5 linked regions of the Bombyx mori genome follow. The protein of the gene in region 2 binds, or shares a complex with, the protein of the main gene of each other region. Links are inferred from orthologs where the notes say so. Each region holds a gene or a part of one and is shown on either strand. Other genes may lie near its edges.

Evidence for each region.
Region 1: general transcription factor IIE subunit 2 (region 2) and DNA-directed RNA polymerase II subunit RPB2 share a complex: the UniProt entries of both Homo sapiens proteins name them as parts of the TBP-based Pol II pre-initiation complex. The link is inferred for Bombyx mori from reciprocal best matches to the Homo sapiens genes GTF2E2 and POLR2B.
Region 3: general transcription factor IIE subunit 2 (region 2) and general transcription factor IIH subunit 4 share a complex: the UniProt entries of both Homo sapiens proteins name them as parts of the TBP-based Pol II pre-initiation complex. The link is inferred for Bombyx mori from reciprocal best matches to the Homo sapiens genes GTF2E2 and GTF2H4.
Region 4: general transcription factor IIE subunit 2 (region 2) and transcription initiation factor IIA subunit 1 share a complex: the UniProt entries of both Homo sapiens proteins name them as parts of the TBP-based Pol II pre-initiation complex. The link is inferred for Bombyx mori from reciprocal best matches to the Homo sapiens genes GTF2E2 and GTF2A1.
Region 5: general transcription factor IIE subunit 2 (region 2) and general transcription factor IIF subunit 2 share a complex: the UniProt entries of both Homo sapiens proteins name them as parts of the TBP-based Pol II pre-initiation complex. The link is inferred for Bombyx mori from reciprocal best matches to the Homo sapiens genes GTF2E2 and GTF2F2.

The regions. Positions count from the first base shown.
Region 1 is NC_085110.1:13,229,992-13,234,097, reverse strand, and holds the start of DNA-directed RNA polymerase II subunit RPB2, read right to left. Parts: upstream 2,816-4,106; 5' UTR 2,676-2,815; coding exon 1-2,675. UniProt on the Homo sapiens protein: Catalytic core component of RNA polymerase II (Pol II), a DNA-dependent RNA polymerase which synthesizes mRNA precursors and many functional non-coding RNAs using the four ribonucleoside triphosphates as substrates.
Region 2 is NC_085118.1:15,267,058-15,271,056, reverse strand, and holds the start of general transcription factor IIE subunit 2, read right to left. Parts: upstream 2,811-3,999; 5' UTR 2,667-2,810; coding exon 2,605-2,666; exon of another isoform or gene 2,601-2,604; intron 1,873-2,600; coding exon 1,768-1,872; intron 944-1,767; coding exon 781-943; intron 324-780; coding exon 214-323; intron 1-213. UniProt on the Homo sapiens protein: Recruits TFIIH to the initiation complex and stimulates the RNA polymerase II C-terminal domain kinase and DNA-dependent ATPase activities of TFIIH. Both TFIIH and TFIIE are required for promoter clearance by RNA polymerase.
Region 3 is NC_085125.1:212,807-216,322, forward strand, and holds part of general transcription factor IIH subunit 4, read right to left. Parts: intron 2,828-3,516; coding exon 2,755-2,827; intron 2,676-2,754; coding exon 2,568-2,675; intron 223-2,567; coding exon 139-222; intron 1-138. UniProt on the Homo sapiens protein: Component of the general transcription and DNA repair factor IIH (TFIIH) core complex, which is involved in general and transcription-coupled nucleotide excision repair (NER) of damaged DNA and, when complexed to CAK, in RNA transcription by RNA polymerase II.
Region 4 is NC_085117.1:13,411,124-13,414,870, reverse strand, and holds transcription initiation factor IIA subunit 1, read right to left. Parts: upstream 2,521-3,747; 5' UTR 1,999-2,520; coding exon 1,030-1,998; 3' UTR 517-1,029; downstream 1-516. UniProt on the Homo sapiens protein: TFIIA is a component of the transcription machinery of RNA polymerase II and plays an important role in transcriptional activation. TFIIA in a complex with TBP mediates transcriptional activity.
Region 5 is NC_085110.1:12,712,205-12,716,214, forward strand, and holds the start of general transcription factor IIF subunit 2, read right to left. Parts: upstream 2,812-4,010; 5' UTR 2,620-2,811; coding exon 2,343-2,619; intron 2,212-2,342; coding exon 2,000-2,211; intron 608-1,999; coding exon 482-607; intron 1-481. UniProt on the Homo sapiens protein: TFIIF is a general transcription initiation factor that binds to RNA polymerase II and helps to recruit it to the initiation complex in collaboration with TFIIB.

The sequences.
Region 1 (4,106 bases), on a different chromosome or scaffold from region 2:
GCATCTCGCTTTGTAAATCGTTTTGTTGTACCTTCCAACTCATCATCATTTTCTGGCAAAGTTATAGTTTTTCCTATGACAACATCATCACCTGATACTCTAATACCAGGAGCAATAATACCATCATCATCTAATTTGTCATACAGAGCATTCCTCATACCCTGACATGTCTGTCTGGTTGGTTTTTCAAACTGTTCTTCTTGTTCTCCATTTCTTTTAGATTCAGAATCTTTGTATGAACGGTAAAATACGGATCTAAAGAATCCTCTCTCTACAGCAGATGCATTCAAAATAACACTATCTTCTTGGTTATATCCGGTATAACAAAGAATAGCAACAATGGAGTTAATTCCTGCTGGCAATTCTCTAAATCGTAAGTATTCCATAGATCTTGTCGTAACCAGGGGTTTGTGAGGATAATACAAAACATGAGCCAGTGTATCCATTCTAACATGGAAATTTGTGATATAAACTCCCATAGCTTGTTTACCCATAGCACTTTGATAAGTATTTCTGGGACTTTGATTATGATCTGGGAATGGAATAATAGACGCACAGACACCCAGAATCATTGCAGGATGAATCTCACAATGTGTATAAGTAGTACAATATGCATATTCTTTAACTTGATTCAAGTCATCTAAACTCATGGCAATCATCACAGTTTCTTCTTCCAAAGTATCAATATATTCAACTACTCCACTAGCCACCAAATTTTGCCAACCATAGTTATTGTAGTCCTTTTCTTTTAAATCATCTATGTGCTTCTTTTTCAACAATAAGACACCATTATTGACAATAAGTAATGGCCTACAAATTCTACCTGCATCTGTATAGATTCTGATTTCTCTGTCTCTTATATCTCTAATCATACTGACTTCAGAGACAATGATGTCCATATGACGTCTTAGTTTACGTAGTGTAGCCATCAACTGTTCAGGGTCCCTGTGTATTCCTACCCAACAACCATTCACAAATATCTTTGTGGCATCAGCTATAGCTGATGGTGCAATTTCTTCCAAGTTTTCCATTGACCATTCTTCCAAGAACTCCAAAATTGGTGAAGGTTGACTTCCTACTGAGATATAAGCCATTAATGCTAAATTCTTCACTAAGCCAACAGCAGCTCCCTCTGGAGTTTCAGCAGGACAAATCATACCCCATAAAGTATTGTGCAATTGACGTGGTTTAGCAAGTTTACCATCACGTCCAATTGGAGAATTGACACGTCTTAAATGGGATAAAGTAGATGCAAAAGTTAATCTGTTCAACACTTGAGATACTCCAGCTCGGGCCTGATGAGCTTTCTTTTGGTCACCCCAATTACCAGTTGCCAAAGAATAACGAAGACCATCAGTGATGATTTTTGTTTTGATAGCAAGTTCCAAGTTGAAATCTTTTCCTCTATCAATAAATTTTTGAGCATACATTCGGACTTCTTTTAGTAAATTTTTGAATAAGCCTCTAAATAGAAAAGCCAAAAGTGGTCCTGCTAAATCTAATCTTTTGTTGCCATAATGATCTCTATCATCCAGTTCTCTTCGACCCAAAGCAGCTAATAATAATCTGTGTACCATGTAGCCTAGAAAATAAGCTTTTTTTGTTTCACAAAAATCTGATACTCCAACATGTGGCAACATTTCCTTTTGTAAGATTTCTCTAGCATATTTAATACGTCTTTCTTTGGTGACACCTGGGCGTGCTCCTCGGCTTCCAATAAAATTGAGTGCTACATTTTGTTCTTGAATGACAAAAGCCTCATCAAGAGATGGCTTAACCATTTCCATCATTTCTGGATCATCAAAATCATATATAATGTGTTCCAATATATCTCTATCAGCAACAAAACCTAAAGCTCTGAATACAATCATTATAGGTATGTCTTGTTTGATATATGGGACAATTGCCATAATTCTTTGACCAATAGCAGATTTCTTTATATTTTGTCCTCCTCGAGCCATCATATTAACCCATAATGTAGATGTCGGTCTAGAACTATGTTCCAGACATGATCTTATTTCTGTTTTGTAAGCATATTTGCCATCCTTCATGCTGAATACATAGACAGTATTGGTAGCCATTTTTTCCTGTGCAATTAGTACTTTTTCTGATCCATTAATAATGAAGTAACCACCAGGATCTAAGGGGCATTCATTCAATTCTGACAAGTCACGGTCAGTCAAACTGTTTAGTAAGCAATATGTAGATCTAAGCATAATAGGAATCTTGCCAATAAATGTTTTCTGATGTTGCGTTTCAATAGGATCCTCATGTTCTTTCTCTATTGTTTTTGTAATATCAACATATAAAGGTGCCGAATATGTTAAATTACGAAGACGTGCTTCATTGGGCATCATGGGAGATGGAGCTCCATCTTTCTCCCAATGAGTAGGTTTAGATAAATAAATTTGGTCAAATTTAAGACGATATTTTGGTGGTGTTTCCATCTCACCAGAGAAATGTTGTGCTTCTGCTTGTAATTCTATGGGTGGAGAATCTTCAACTATACGTTGTACCGACATTTGAATAAATTCATCGAAGCTATCTAATTGCTGTCTCACTAGACCTTTTTCATCGAAATAAGCGTTGATGACAATCCAACAAGCTTCTTGCCAAAGCTCAGGTGTTATTTCCACATCTTCCTCTTCGTATTGATCATCTTCTGTATCATACATCTTCGCTAAAGCGAGTGTTGTATTTAAAAAATATACTGTAGGCTATTAATGGCCTTTCTGTATTTTCAATTGGAAAATATTAAAGCAAATGCGTCGTCGTCGCCTTTCCTAGGCTCTATTATCTATGGTAGCAAATATCATAGATTAAACACATGCAAATATTATGTGCTTAATGGCTCAGTGAATTTAGCCCCCTTTTTTATTTTGGATTTTTTTATATTTGTTGGCGTGAGGTGATGGTTTGCTTATTAGATATAAAATAATTAATAATTGAGAATTCAATTGTTTTTATGATCGAACAATCACCAATAGTCGTCAAACAAACGATAATTGATCAAAATTAATTAATCTGAGTGATAAAAATAAAGATATCTAGTAAAAGGAGCCAACTTAATGTGATCATTTGTTTAATTAATTATAAATAAATAAAAGACGAACAAAGATTTTTTACATATGAACATTAACGAACAAACAACGGACAAATAATTAAAAATAAAAAAATTTGAAAATCAAAAAAAGAGGGGCCAAATTCAGTGTGCCGTAGGTATAGATCATACACTTAATATTTAAGTTAGTAGGTTATGGCTCTGTAAATTTGGCCCCCTTTTTTTATTTTCGGATTTTTTTTATTTTTAATTATTTGTTCGTCGTTTGTTCGTTAATGCTCGAATGTAAAAATTGTTTGTTCGTCTTTTGTTTATTTATAATTAATTAAATAAATGATCACCGTTAAGTGGGCCCCTCTTACTAGATATCTTTATTTTTATCGATTAATTCATTTTAATTCATTTTGATCAATTATCGTTTGTTCGATGACTATTGGTGATTGTTCGATCATAAAAATAATTAAATTCCCAATTATTAATTATTTTATATTAATGTAATACCGAAATACTTCACGAGATGGCGTTACAAAAAATCCCTTCCCAAAACTATAAAACCGTTGTGATTGTCTACTGAATAGATAATATAATAAATAATATTTATTCGTAGGTGATTGTTTAAGATGTTATGAATATTTCAGTTTTGATTTCATCAAAATAACTTGAACTTTACTACTAAATTCCGAAAAAAATTTTAATTAAGGCTGAGTTAAATTTAGCTTTTTATTTAAGCCTCTTACTGTAGTTTTTGAATTACATTTATGCAGATTGACGTTTCAAAGCTTTCAGATTTCAATTTTAAAATCTGAAATAATTAAGAACAGCGTCATCCACCGTTCACATTTGAAACAGAATTTAATTCGGTTTAAATTTGTAAAAGTTGATGTTGATTATTATTACACTAATTAATTGAGCGTTTCATTAGCTTTTAAGCTGAGTGACTATATACTAGTAATATATTTTTATTCTATTGTCTATTTTTGTTAAGTAATAAATGAGCAAAAAATAATACTTAACTAAAAGATATGAAATCCGAACAAAAACAGTT
Region 2 (3,999 bases):
AGACGGGCATACGGCCCACCTGATGGTGAGTAGTTACCGTCGCCCATGGACTTCAGCAATGCCAGGGGCAGAGCCAAACCGCTGCCTACAATAAATGAAATGCAAATTGAACAAGTACTTTTTATTTATATGATTTTTGTCAGGTGATGATCTTTAAATCGTTTTCTAGTTACTACATTTGAATTATGTAAATAATGAAAATATTATACGTACCTCAGTAAAGATTTTTTATCTTTTATTTTATAAACCGGTTTGAAGTTAAACTTTCCATCCGGAGAGCATTCGATTTTAGGATTGCTCTGTAGGGCTTCTGTTTGTAGCCACTTGAAAATGTTTACAGCAGGTTATAAAAGAGAAATCAATTAAAATAGAATATTATTTATAAAAAGCATTTTAATCAATTTGGGTGTTGTGGTACTTGTGTGCTGGGGTATAATAATACTGTAATTAATGCCATCATTTTCCTAAAGTAATTACTCATGATTATTTTTATACATTATGTAGATACAGTTAGTGTTAATAGGGTGTCTTGTGAGCATGCAGGGGTAGATATAACCACACTGCCTATTTCTTTACTGAAGCATAAGCAATATAAAAGTGAGATTTAGAACTCATGTCTATATACTCCAGTAACTGCTTAACACCAGGTGGTTCGTGAGCACATTAGACTTAGTAATAAAATAAAAATTGCATTTATCATCAGCTATAAGAAAATGTGTGTGTTGTTGTAATTATTATTGAGGTAATTTATTTATTATTTCAATACTTATTAAAAGATACCTGTTTTATTTTATTTCCGACATCCAATTGATTTGTCTCATCTAAAATCTCATCTAAAGACAGTGGATGGTCATCTCCATCTTGATGCCTTGCTCTCATATGCCGTACAATACGCGCTAGCACACCAAAGCGATAGGACGAGCTGCCAGTCATAGTCTTGTAACTGAAAAGGATGATGATCAATCACAGATTTAACCAATAATTATAATATAACAAAAAATAATATTATTAGTGTTTGCTTATTGATCTAAATTCGACCATAATCATTGACACCTCAAGGTTTAGATTCAATTTAGTATTAAATTTTCCCTTTTGTTTCGTTACTTAGTGATATAAAAAAAAATCTAGAACTGTTTTCTGATAACACAAAAGCTCTTTAATAGCTACTAAATTAAATAAAAGGGAGAGTTGTCAAACAGAGAAAGAACTGGTATCTATATGCTCTATCTCAATATTTTATCCATTGTAGCACTAAATATGATCAATTCTTTTTTATATATTTTATAAGATTTTAGCAAATACACTAAATGATAAATTATTTTTTTAACAATAAAAAGCTCGCTACATATAGCCTGTATCAAGGCTATCATAATATAAATTTTCGAATTCCAAATAAATCCTGTGTTTTTTATTTTTCATAATTTTTTTTCCAAAGGCTTTTTCTAATTTTTTTTATTCAAAAGTTGATATTGCTATAAAAAGTTTATTAGTATTATTTAATAGAATTGGCGATTAAAATTACCTATAAAGCATAATAAATTATGGGAAGCAATGGTACTGATGTCATGAATAGATATTGCTGATATAGTAATTTGACCTAGTCAAAAGATAAAACTAAATGTGATTTCTAGTTTATTAATGAAAATAGCATTAGTAAATGATGCACATATTTGTTTATGCGGAACACAGTAACTATGTAAATTCAATAGTTATTTTGATAACAGAATATTTTAAATTATTAATTATGTTGCCCTAGCCTTTACTTACTTACTAGCATCAAGCTTTGGTCCGGAGCTGACTGAGCTGGATGATTTCGATTTCTTTTTGCTGTCATCTTTGAATTCAGAGTCATCCCTTTTCTTTTTTTCAATGCTGAAGAGAAAAGAATAATACTTTATTAATTTTGTTTCGTTCTAATTTGACAGTAACCTTTCGATGGGTTGAACTATAGCTCATGTAAAGTGTACTTTTATCAAGTGTGACTATGCTGGTATTCAAATACCATAGACCTGTATAATTTTTTCCACGGCAAAACATTTCTAACACGTTTTCATAAATGGATTATAAGATGAAGTAGCATTTTAGATAAAAATCATGTTTCAAAACAATTGGTGACATTCACATTATATCTAGGGGCTCAGGTAATCACTTAACATAATGTGGGCTGTCAGCTTGATCAGATTCTTTGAAAAAATTCATTACTTTAAATTAAATGAAACATTTTCCATTGTATTCTAATTTACCTAGGGCATGCCAGTCAATATAATCTTTAAAAAAATAGGGCCTGTGCCTTGATCATATTTATCTAGAATATTGGCTGCTATTAAATTAGGAAAGATATTATATCTTATTAACATTTAAATCTTCTACTTTTCTCTGCACAAGTGATTTGTTCACATTTCTACTCATTTAGTATTTCGAAACACATATTTCCATTCATAACTTTATATAATGACTCAGTAATGAATATTGCCACAAGGAAGTGAATTGATAGTAATTGTATGGGCTACGTGAGTGACAGAGAAAGTGTGCGATGGATGCCAGTATGTCTCCAATCATTGTTGTGGACTAGCGAATAGTTTAGTTAAAAATAATGTAACAGACCTCGGGGTCGCAAGTGCCTTCTTTTTAAACGCTTCCCGTTCCCGTAAGAGCGCCGGGTCCATATTTTCGTCTTTTAAACACAATCACTAAAAGTACGTATCAATTGTATTAGTATTTTGTTTAATTGCTGTTGTAATGTAGTCTATTTTCCACTTCCAAATCCTGTTTCTTTAAAATCCGGTTTGAGCAATTTGACATGTGACATATGACCATCTTTGACAAATGACGTGAGGGAGTTCATATAGAGTCCCTTCTTTATTTCGCCTGGTTGTGTTTTATGTAATTAACACCACAGTTGGAACAATATAAATTTTATTGTTGTAGCGGCATAAAGTAATTACATTAAATTGGTTATTATCACATTATAAATTATTTTTGTTTTTCATATTTTGGCGGTAAAAAGGTATTGTCACAGACTATATTCTTTTTCCCACATCTCGTGCGTTCCGGCTTACGCATAATAAAACGCCACACCACCCCCCTACGGAGAAGGAGAATCCGCAGAAAAAGAGAAAAAAATATCATAGGTCGAAAGGTTTGGAGAAGTGGACTCTGCGACCTGATCGGGTGGTATATTGAGGTGTATGCGTAGGAGTAGCAGTTAGAGGTGCCGAAGGCACGAGTGGACATGAAGGGACATTAGTAGCATCCGGTTGCGCTGGTTGAGGCACAGAAACCCGCGGTGCTGGTGCTGGAACGAGATCTACTAAAGAATGCTCGACGAAAGCTGGCTTAATTCTGTCGACACTGACCGTCACCTGTTTCCCTTTTACATCAATCGACCACGTTTTTCCGTCCTCGGCTCTAGATATAACTCTATGAGGACCAGAGTAAGGTGGTTGCATTGAACGTCTAACCGAATCCTCCCTGAGCATTACATGAGAGGCGGTGGAAAGATTTTTAAATATGAAAGGTGATGGTTTAGTGTGTGAGGAACATGGAGTGGGACGCAATTTAGACATACGCTGTCTTAACTTTACGACAAAATCCGTCGGGTCCTCGAAGCCAGAAGGACCGGGAGGTACTAACAGTTCCCCTGGAAGCGTTAATGTTTCTCCGTAAAGCAATTCCGCTACTGTTGCTTGTAGATCTTCTTTAAAAGCCGAACGCATTCCTAATAAGACCAAAGGTAATGCATTCAACCACGAATCATCATAACACATCAGAGAGGCCTTTAATTGTCTATGCATGCGCTCCACGAGCCCATTGGCACAAGGGTGGTAACTAGTAGTGCGTATACGTTTAGTACCACATAAATTAGTAAGGCGTCTGAAAAGGTCCGACTCGAACTGTCGTCCCTGGTCGGTAGTGATGACAGCAGGTACTCCGAATCGAGCAATCCAACCGGCTACAAAGGTGCTCGCCACTTCTTCTGCTGTTATTCCGTGCATAGGC
Region 3 (3,516 bases), on a different chromosome or scaffold from region 2:
CGCGCGCGGCGGACCCTAGTCGCCACTCGGACGTCCGGTGTCCGCCCGCCCACGGTTGCCCACAGACAGACAGTTACAATGCCATATAGTGTGGCGCGGGGCAGCTCCGCGACGCCCGAGTGGCGCGCAGATACCGACCTTCCTCTGGTAGACGAGGCCGAACTCCCGCAGGTGCTGCAGGAACACCAGCATGTTGTTGCTCATGCCCTCCGTGCTGTAGTCCTGCGGACGAGACGCGCGGCACTCTTTTATTTTATTCTTATATTAAAATAAAACAGACCTCATCTATCTATTTTTGTATGATATTAAATGAGCGTTGAATTACAGAAAACCAATTTTTAATGAAATATTTTAATAAATATTAACTTGATCAATACATTTCTTTTATAAAATATGCTTGACCTCAAATGTCATCACGATTGAATTCATTCAAACAGATACTTTAAGTTAATAATTTTCCACATACCACATATACTCTGTGCTGTATCTGTGCTCTTTGTAAGGCTCAGATATCAATGACTTTTTAGCGGGAACGCGAGGAGTGAAGTTGTGTGATTTGTTTTATTTTGTCTATTTAGTGTTTCTTCGGGTTTAAATGTGTAATAATGGTGGTTTATTAACTGTTTAATATCTGTGAAAGTGCACAAATGTGGGAAAATGAAACAAAGCTGCTGGACGTAACTTCTCGGGTTCCTCCAAAAAGTCCACTGAAAAAATCTCAGTAAATGACCACCATTTTACTGCGATTATATTTCATCCCATATCATTTCATTTCATTAAATTTCATTTCATCCCAGTTGATTAATGTCTCAAATTAATCATATTCATTTCATTTCACTCCATATTATCATTTTTCATAAAATTAAGAATATAAAGTAAAATAAGACATGACTTAAAGGTCTCGGTTACTAGGTCATAAAATCTCTTAAAAAAAAAACAGATATCAATTTTATTACAGTCTTACTGATAATTTCAAAACACTTATATAATTTCAACTCTAAGCGTGAACACTTTTAGAACTTGTCCATCCCGCAGTATATTACACACATTACATATATTACATACAATCCGGACACATATTCAGAGATGTTGTATCGTATTGAACATTTTCAAATAATTATGAAGTGGATGGGAAAAGGCCTCGGGGGCGCTTCCCGATAAGTTGGTCCGACCAGATCCGCACCGCTCTTGATCCCACACTTCACAACGCCCTCCACACCGCCAGAGACAAAAATAGTTGGAGAAAGGTCATGCGTGCGAAGGTGATACAGAAGGGTGGTCGCGACCCTCAGCAGTGAGAGGAATACGACGCAAGAAGGAGGAGAATAAAAAAATAACTATATTGTATATTTTAAAAAGCAATTAGAATATATTTTTTAAATTGATGATATTTTTAAACAAAGTCCGATTTGTATAGGTACTCGCGAGTTGTGGGCGTAATGAAGTCTGCTCTGACGTACATTCCCGCGTGTTCTAGTGTCAGTGTAACAGTGCGGGCGGCGGCCCCGGCTACTGGACCATTGAGCACGTCGTTAACGACATTGAGGCAACAGACAGCGCGGGATAAGCCGCTCAAGTAGTTTGAATGATTGTGTTGTTCCGGCGGACAGCGCGCAGGCTCCGAGTGATAACGATACGGTACGGAACAGGTTTTTTTGAAGTGAAAACTTGGGAAGCAGAAATCGGCAAAGTGGTGGTACCTACCCGCGCGGACTCACAAGAGGTCCTACCACCAGTAATTACGCAAATTATAATTTAGCGGGTTTGATTTTTATTACACGATGTTAAGTCAATCGTGAACATTTGTTGAGTACGTATTTCATTAGAAAAATTTGTATCCGCCTGCGGGATTCGAACACCGGTGCATCGGTCAGCACGAATGCACCGGACGTCTCATCCTTTAGGCCACGACGATGAAATTAAAAAGCGACTTTTTTTGCTTACCTGGACTTGTAGCCTTGGGAGGCTCTTTCAGCTTCTCCTTGACGTGTAGGTGAGCTCACGGGGCTTAACCGGGGGTGTTGCTAACACTGACCCTAGCAAGAGCAGTGCTTCGCAGAATCTACTACCGGATCGGAAACGCGTCCCACTGAGAAGATCCGGCGAGTCCGGCTGTGTCTATGAGTTAATTCACTCGTTGAGCCCTTCGTCGCAAGCGACGGGTTCAACGAGGACGGTGACCGGTGCTTGAGGTACCTAAAAGCACCGTTAATGGATCGGGAGGATCCAAAATGACGTATTTAGGGCGACTTCGACTATTTACTATTCGGTCTACAGGATCGGGTATGTAGTTCCCAGCGGCCACGACAAGAGTTTTCATGTCGGGCCACCTTTAAAAAAGCGACAGTAAAAAGAGACTGACACATAAATTCTTAAGATTGAATAATATTCATAAGGTTTATATTATGGGTATAGTTCAGATTCATAAGATTTAACGCATTGAAACGGATGGCAACAATTACGTTGTTGTTCTTGTCTATGAGTTCTGGCGACCAGCGGGCGGTCGTGAGCTCGTTCGTCCATCTTAGCAATAAAAGTTTAACATTGGAAAAAATGATTATAGTCACCTTCCCCAGGGTGCTGAAGCTGAGCTGGTAGAGGAAGGCCAGGCACTCGGCGGCGCTGAGGCTGCGGCGCTCGGCCGTGTGCAGGTAGTGCTGCAGGAACAGCCACACCTGCGCACACACACGCGTCACACCCGCCGCCCCGCGAGGGCCGGGCTGGCCGGGCTCATCGCTCAGACACTGAACCGACCTGCTTGGGTGTACTCAGGAGCAGAAACTGGAAGCCGGCGCGAGTGATAACGGCGGACCCGTCTTCTGCGTCTCTGAAACATTACACGACCCGGGTGACGTCACACACTAGGGACGCGGACGGAGGAGGATGACATTTCCCACACTTATAGGCTGCGTTCCACTAAGCGTTCACAACGATCACGCTCACGACCGCAATTTTTTCCGTTCCACTTGCTTGTGAGCGTTACTGTCGTAAACTCAAGTGGAATGGATTTTAGAGTGTTTTGAGCGTGGAGTCCAGGTAAATAATACAAATGCCGAGTTAATAAAAAGATTTAAGAGGTTAGGTTATAATCTGTAAGCCTTGAAAATTAACCTTACTTATTATTGTTTAAATCGATTTATATTGAAAAAAATTATACATAATTTAATTTTTATTTAATATTAGTGGCGTATTTAATTAATTTACTTTCAAATGTAATTAAAATGTCTTTTGCGGCGGCACTAGGATATTTGGTAAGAGGTCGCAATAATGCTCCTGTGTGCTTAGTGCGAGTTTTTTAACGTTCTCGATAGCGTAAAAGTTAAGCCAATTCTGTATGCAGTTTGAACAGCGCCCCTAGCGGCAAACGTACGTAAACGATTCCATTCCTTACAAATATGAGCTAACTTTTACGCTATCGAGAACGTTAAAAAACTCGCACTAAGCACACTGATAGTATCTCTTTCCGCATGAAATAACGTAAGCTTAAAGGTCGCCATTTTTGATGCTTTGAGTTTT
Region 4 (3,747 bases), on a different chromosome or scaffold from region 2:
TGATCATTGTGGACAAGTGCACTCTGTTTTGAAATTTACCATACTTTTTTAAAGCAGCCTAACTGATTTTTTTTACATTAGAAACATGATGACTCTCCTTCTGTAAAAATAGCTTTCATATGAGTTTGTGTGTAGTTATTTTTCCTTTTAAGTCTTAATATTAAGAGTGCAATTTAATTCGTTATTAAAATAAAACCCCCTAAACGTTATCTATAATATTATTATATTAGAAATAATTACATTTTAAAGTATCATGCCCTTGCAGTCCTTGCCCATTGTTGAGATGTAGAAATTTAAAAAAAAACCAAATTAATTGTTTGCTTCTAATAAGGACTATTTGTTTGATATTTAAATTATCTTTGATCTTACATACTCTGTAATAAATATTTTTTTCATTTTTAAAGAGGAAATTTAACTCATTTTTATTAAATTTAAAAGTTGTTTATTTATGCATTATATTTTTTGTTTAAACAAATGAAATTAAGGACATTTTCAATATTATAAAAAAAACATGGGTCATGTGTCACATTTATTGTAATTTTAATAGTGGCATTTAAATTAAAGAGCATCAACTTAAGAGATAACAAAATTATTCACAAACTTCTTTTGTATTGTACATTATTAATACCCAATAAGTCAAGATATGTATCTCGATATTAGAAGCACAAAGTCAAATAAATATCTTTCATTTAGATTTTTTTTTGTGTTTTTTTTTGTAATTATATTAGTAAGTAGTAGTCTCAGTAGTGTACAAAAAACACACTAATGGGAAGTGAGACTGAAGGAGCTTGGTAGAGTTTTTTACTATTGGTAATACTAGTGTCTTAGAAAACTTCAAATCTACCTACTAAAGATTGTTTTTTTTTTTTCATAATTTGTTTAACAATCTTATCGTAATCTTGTTACACAGATATCTGCCATACAGACATCAAATTACATGTCGAAATAACGAAATAATAATTATGAGACCTTAAGCCCTAATTCCGAGATATAACAAATAATTTTCTATAAAATACACACTGTCTATAATCACCATTCCGCATCACCATTAGCCTTTTGGAATACATAATCCTTTCCAGCTAGATTCATGATTCCATCTTTGAGATAGAACTTCCACCTATTGCGACTGCGTGTAATTTTATCATATTGGCAAACAACTACATTATCAGTATCAAACATGTCCCCTGGCTCCTCATCAGATACATCATCACCGGAATTTAGGGGTTCTTCTTCAGCACCACCACTTTCATTTTGTTCTTCTTCTTCTTCTTCTGCCCGCTCTTCGGGAGAATCGTCATCATCATCATCATCTGCTGCACCGTCTTCTGAACCATCACCTACGTTTGAGCCATCATCATCAGAAGAGTCCAAAGCACCATCTAAAGAGAAAGGAGCAGTTCCACTGCGGCCGCCTCCGCCGCTATCAAAATCACTTTTTTGTCCTGCTAAAGCCGAGTTGATATGTTGTTGCAGTAAAGTAGCAGCTAGAGGTTGTGGAAGGCTAATGGTAGCATTTATTATAGGACCTGTTAAGACCTGATGCAGTTTGTTGCCGTTCAGAGCTGATGCTGGAATTTGAATGGTAAATGAACGAGGCTGGGACCCTGGAACTCCAGGTTGAGCAGGTAATGTAAGCTGAACTGGCACTTTATTATTAGGGTCTAGAATATGATGAGTATGCGTTCCAGCTACACTAGATGCTGGTGCACTATGTTCTTGTTGCCCCGAAGTATGTCCCATGTCAGTTCTTTTATGCACTACATTACTACCATTTACTTTTTGGAAATTCTGTAACACTGGAGGAGGTGGCAGCATCGGCTCAGGTTGTAACGGGTCCGTGGCTCCACTGGCTTGAAGCTTTGTCTTCCATAGTTGTTTTAGTTCTTGTAACACTTGTTCGTCTACACCGTCATCTAAGAAAGAATTTCTCACTCCGGATATCACGTCGTCTACCACTATGTTGTAAAGTTTCAATACTGCGAGCTGACTCGTTGTCATTTTGCAATCGAGCTGTAGTTGAAAATTGTTTAACAGTGTAAAATGTTCACAGAACTAGATATTCTTGTTTCTAAATCTGTTTAGTTTAGTTTAGAGCCGATTATTTGTCTTCTGAGTTCACATCGCAACATTTCAATGTCAAATTTCTGGAATTCACACAGTTTGTTAATTCACTAATGTTGATGACCAATTTTATATATTTAAGATAATATGTGGCTAAAGTAGCTTATTTTAACTTTTATGACGTCCATTTACATAAAGAGAGACAAATTTATAAATTCACCATAAAAATTTTGACAATTGATCACTCAAACATAACCTACAAACCGAGGAAATATTTCGTAGCCTTTAAAGAAATAATTGTCTATGGTTCGTTGATTCCGACATTGAACGACGACAAAGATGGCGCATGCGTTATGAGTACGAGAAATAGCACCGCCCCGCACCGCGCCCCGGTTGATTACGTATTGGTGAGTTTGCGCCTTGGGTAGTTGCCTTTAAATTGATTTTACGGTTTGAAAGGAAAGAGCCACCACTTTAAAATTTCAAAACAAAATTGGCATATCTAAAATTTATTGTTATAACATTGAATGATGAAATTTAAAAATATAGAATTTTCACAAAAAACGGTATTCATTCAAAAAAATTCGTTACAAGCCAATTTTAATGAAATTCATTTCTACTTAAACCATTGTTAAATAATATTGACTAAATAATATTTATATTTTATTTATATTAAACTATTGCACTGTTGAGTACAAGCAACGCAACACTCAATTTTATCTTGTACTATGAAAACTTAAAGACTTCATTCTTAATAAAACCGCATAATAGGACGTTTATGAAACAAGAGTAACTATAAACTTAATTGTTATTTTAGATAGATTTTTCAGTTTTTCAGTGGTTGTAAAAAATGTTGATTAAAATTGGTGGCATAGACAATAATTGAATTTTAGTATTTTTGTGGCGGGAAATCCAAATGTTGGAAAGAACTTTTCGTCTTTGTCGAAGCTTTTCATTTTTTTTGTAACGAATGACGTTGAAGTTTTTATATTTAAAATAGGGGCTTAAACTTATATAGTTGAAAAGGTAGTGTATAATAATATGCTTTCGTTATTAATTTGACATCAATCATCATCAATTCATTTGACTCAATACATTTCTTTCTGTGACAGATTTTTAAAGCACGACAATTGGTAAGAAGGTATTCTAATGGAACATTCTTATATATTCTGACTTCAATATAATATTAAAAATTTATAAATATCAAAATATGAGGGTTACAGTACTCATTTACCTCAATTTTCTTTTAGTAAATATTGTAACGAACAAAATCGATACCAATGCCGAATGAAACACGGTTTTTTCAGTTTATCAAATCAAACTTCTCTTGATAACACAATACAGCACATTTACCGTAAATTAATTAAAGGTAAATTAAAAGCACAGCTAGTTATTTCGGGGAAATAACGTCATCTGTCAGTGATTGGTGTGTATCTGTATAGTCCGCGGTCGACGCGGTCTAGTGGGGACCGTGTTGGTTTGTTCGTCGGCTAGCTATTTGCAGCAGATCGATACGTTCCAGAATATCATTACTCGCTCACCTGAAGTCTAAATTAACGTAGGATCAAACTAAAATTTGTTTACTATTCACTATGTGTTCGCTATTAATGTAGAATTTTGGTTTTATGGCAGTTCAAAAACCATCTCTTGTCGAAATTTGCAACATTTCGAAAGTTTCTGTTTTTA
Region 5 (4,010 bases), on a different chromosome or scaffold from region 2:
CATAATTCACTAGGACCTCTTGGGAGTCCACACGGGTAGGTACCACCACCCCGCCTATTTCCGCCGTGAAGCAGTAATGCGTTTCGGTTCGAAGGGTGGGGTAGGCGTTGTAACTATACTGAGACCTTAGAACTTATATCTCGAGGTGGGTGGCGCATTTACGTTGTAGATGTCTATGGGCTCCAGTAACCACTTAACATCAGGTGGGCTGTGAGCTCGTCCATTCATCAAAGCAATAAAAAAAAATGCAATTAGATGTGTTTTTTTTTATGAACATCTAATTTTAAATTCAAAGTCACTACTATTCTCAGTTTCAAAGTATGAACAGTATTATCAAAATTAGAATATAATATATACAGTGAAACAGTTTCTTTTGGCCTTTATTTTTTTTATTAAGACAATGATTAAATTTTTTGCTTAATAATGTGTTAATAATTTTATGTTTAGACAAATATAAAATCATCAGAATAGTATTTATTACCTTTTGAAGATCCTTAATATTGTAATACTGATGTTTCTCAAATGCTGCAAACAGCATATTGAGCACTGCTTCTTTATCATCACGAGCCTTTTTCCCTTCAGCCTTCTTCCTTTCTTGGTAGTCAATCTAAATATTTTACGAAATTTTAATATACAAAATTAAAAAAAGCATGATTAACATAATGAAATGAAATAAACTTAATAGAATACAAAAAGTAAAACAACTTAAGAAATTTTAAAACCTGTTGTTATTCATTGTGTCACTTGTGAAAAGTTTTCTGGTTGGTTTAAGAGCTCATAGAAAGTAAAAATATACAGAGCCATTTGTTTTTATTTACTGATGTTTATAATTTAATTTACTATATAGATGAGTGAAGAACCCCGTGGTCCACCCAGTGTAAAGTGGTTACCTCACTAGTCATCATAACATGAATAGCACCAAAAACCTTGAGAAGTCGAAATCTCAATTCTATTGTATGAGGTTTTCCTTCAAACCAATGTGCTTAGTGTGAACTTTTTAACTTCTCGATCAGAGTTGGAACAGCACCCCAAGAAGCAAACGCAGGGGCGCTATTCCAACTTCATACAAATTTGAGTTATTTTTTAAATATAAATAAATATAAATATAAATATTTACTAACAATCACGCCACGTTAACTGGTCCCGTGCTAAGTTCGTAAAGAACTTGTGTTACAAGTACCAGATAACGGAAATAAATATAATATTTTATTATACACATACATATATTTAATGTACACCCATAACCCTGGAAAGACATTTACATTTATCATACAAATATCTTACCTTGGCGGGATTCGAACCCGCGACCTCCTTGTGTAGTGACCATGTCACTTACCACTACACCAGACGGCCGTTTGATCAAGAAGTTAAAAACTCACACTAAGCACACAATGATTTGCTGTAAACATAAGCAGGAGCAATATCTACACACACCCTACTATCTGTACCAATACCACACATATATGAATGCCCACCCATCTTCAGATAAAAGGTGGAAGTACCTATTGTATTTTATACCAGCTCAAGATGCAAATTTTACAGTCTTGGCCATCCCAAGCTACTAAACATTCCCTATTTACCGTTCCACCATTCCAATTATATCAATCACTACTTATGTCCCATTAATTCCTAACCTATGGAGGACTGTTATCAGATAAGTAGCTATCAATAACTACACAATTTATAATTTTTTATATTGATCAATCATGTTTTTATTTTCGAGTTTGTCTAAATGATAACTTTGCTATACAATGGGAGCAGACATTGCTGCAACCTGTATTTTAATACTTCTAGTAGAATTTATATGAAGCATTTCATTCAACAACATATCCAAAGAGTATTGAACTGCATCTGGAGATCTCAGAGCTCTACACATGCTCTATTTAAAACTTTTTAATCATCTCTAGTTTGACTTCCAATGCAGTCAGGGGCATGTTTTAATGATCAGTTGCTGAAAAATACAGTAAATCAATCCTTTAGATTTCAACAGTAAACATACATTATGTGGATGGTCAGATACTGGTTTGAAGTTCTGAACAATCCTGTCAAGCTGTTGCACTTGTCGCTGAGGCATGGATGCTTTCTTTATTGATTCAGATTTAAGCTTATAGTATGTCACATCATCATTTGGTCTGCATTCCAATTTCTGTACAATCCTACCCTCCATGTAAAGGTTTTCTGTCTCTGGTACTACAGAGTCCGTATTTGTCGCTAAAATGGTTATATTATGAATAAACACGATTAATATAATATCGAACTTTAGACATGAAATTAATTTTATCATTGAGTTCACCAGGACATGTTAGGAGGCGTTAAATATAGATAATTATGAGACTACTTACGGGCAATATGCGAAAATACACCTAGAGATTGAGTATTAACGTTTGAAACATCAAGCTTATGTTCTTTTGGTATGCTTTGTTCACCAGGGTCCTTTAAACATAGCACTGCTTCTGACAAGGATAACTGCACTTTAGCTCTCGTTCCTGGTACTCTGGAGATCTTTAGTTTTCCTACCTCAATGTTTCCAGGAGCTTTTTCCCATTTGTTTGCTATATATTTAGGTACTTTTACCAACCATACTCCTCTACCAGTATTTGATAAGTCCAATTCGGTCATTGTTGTGGAATATAAAATCTATTAGCAGTCGATAGCGGACACTATTTTAACGGCCTTTAAAAGTACTAAAGTCGTAAAGATTTCCTTTAACTATAACTAAATCTTAGAAAATTTACTTGCACTTCCACAAAAGACCTACATAAGTGACAGCTCTCGAAAATATTAAGTGTATAATCTATGGTGACAGCTTAACCACAGATTAATATAATAAATACCGTAAAATGGGGCGATTAGGGATTGAGAGGCGAATCGGGAAAAAACCGGGAAAATCTTGCGACGCACAATATTAGTTTTATATTCGTTGCAAAATCTTCCATTTTTTGTAGTTTAATAGTAGAATGTTGAAAGTTCACAAAAAAACTCTGAATATGCATGATAATAGCTGCTAACTTATAAAAAATCGCGTTTCAAATTAACTTCCTGTGTTGGAAATTATTTTAGTGCTAGAAACTTTGCTCTCTTTTATTTATTTGATAATAATAGAAGACGACTGTGATTTATAAACGTTATTTAGTGTTTGAACCATCATATATATTAAAGGTAAGTCTCAGTTGTTATTGGTTTTAATGTATTTGATAAAATAAAAATACATGTAAAAATCTGTTGTTTTGGGGGATATTAGGGACGTCTTAGGTACAAATAACAACGAAAAAGGGGTCAATTGGGATGAGAATACGTGAAATGGAAACCACCTAAGTATAAATAGGTACAGGTTTGTAGGGTTGTCTATGTAGTTATAACAATATTTTTTAAATTTGTTGGTAAAAATCTGGTTTATTCATGATGTCTTTGTCTAGAACTTTTATTTAAAATTATCAATGTGTTATTTTATTGTTTGGTAAATATATTATCAGTTACGTATTGTTTTCTATTTTTAGATATGCCTCGCGTTTACGTATCAAAGAGTGCAAAGCCTTATAAGAGATATGATCCCTTAATATTAAAAACAGCAATAGAAGCCTATGAAATTGGGAATAAGTCTTTACTTGAAATAGCCAAGCAATTTAATATAAGTAAGTCGATTTTGCACAGACATGTAACAAGAACAATGAAATCTCGAGGTGGACAAAAATGTCTAAGTAATACATTATAAAATATTTAATATTTGTTCAGAGTGGGGGTATTCATCTGATTAATCCATGGAATAACCGACATAACTAATCTCTTAACCCAGATAAAAATATCAGCCCCTAAGTACTTACCAAGACCGAAGAAATATAAACCGTTTATAAGAAAGCTCACTCGTTCGAATTTAGGTGCTTACTCTCCCATATACAGAATCCTTTGGGACTACAATAATGTCCACGGTAGCGTGGTCTCCGTCAATGTTCATTCGGAGTTGTCCGATTGCGCTGAACTAATTTTAAGTGATAAAATAGATGTTTTTTTTA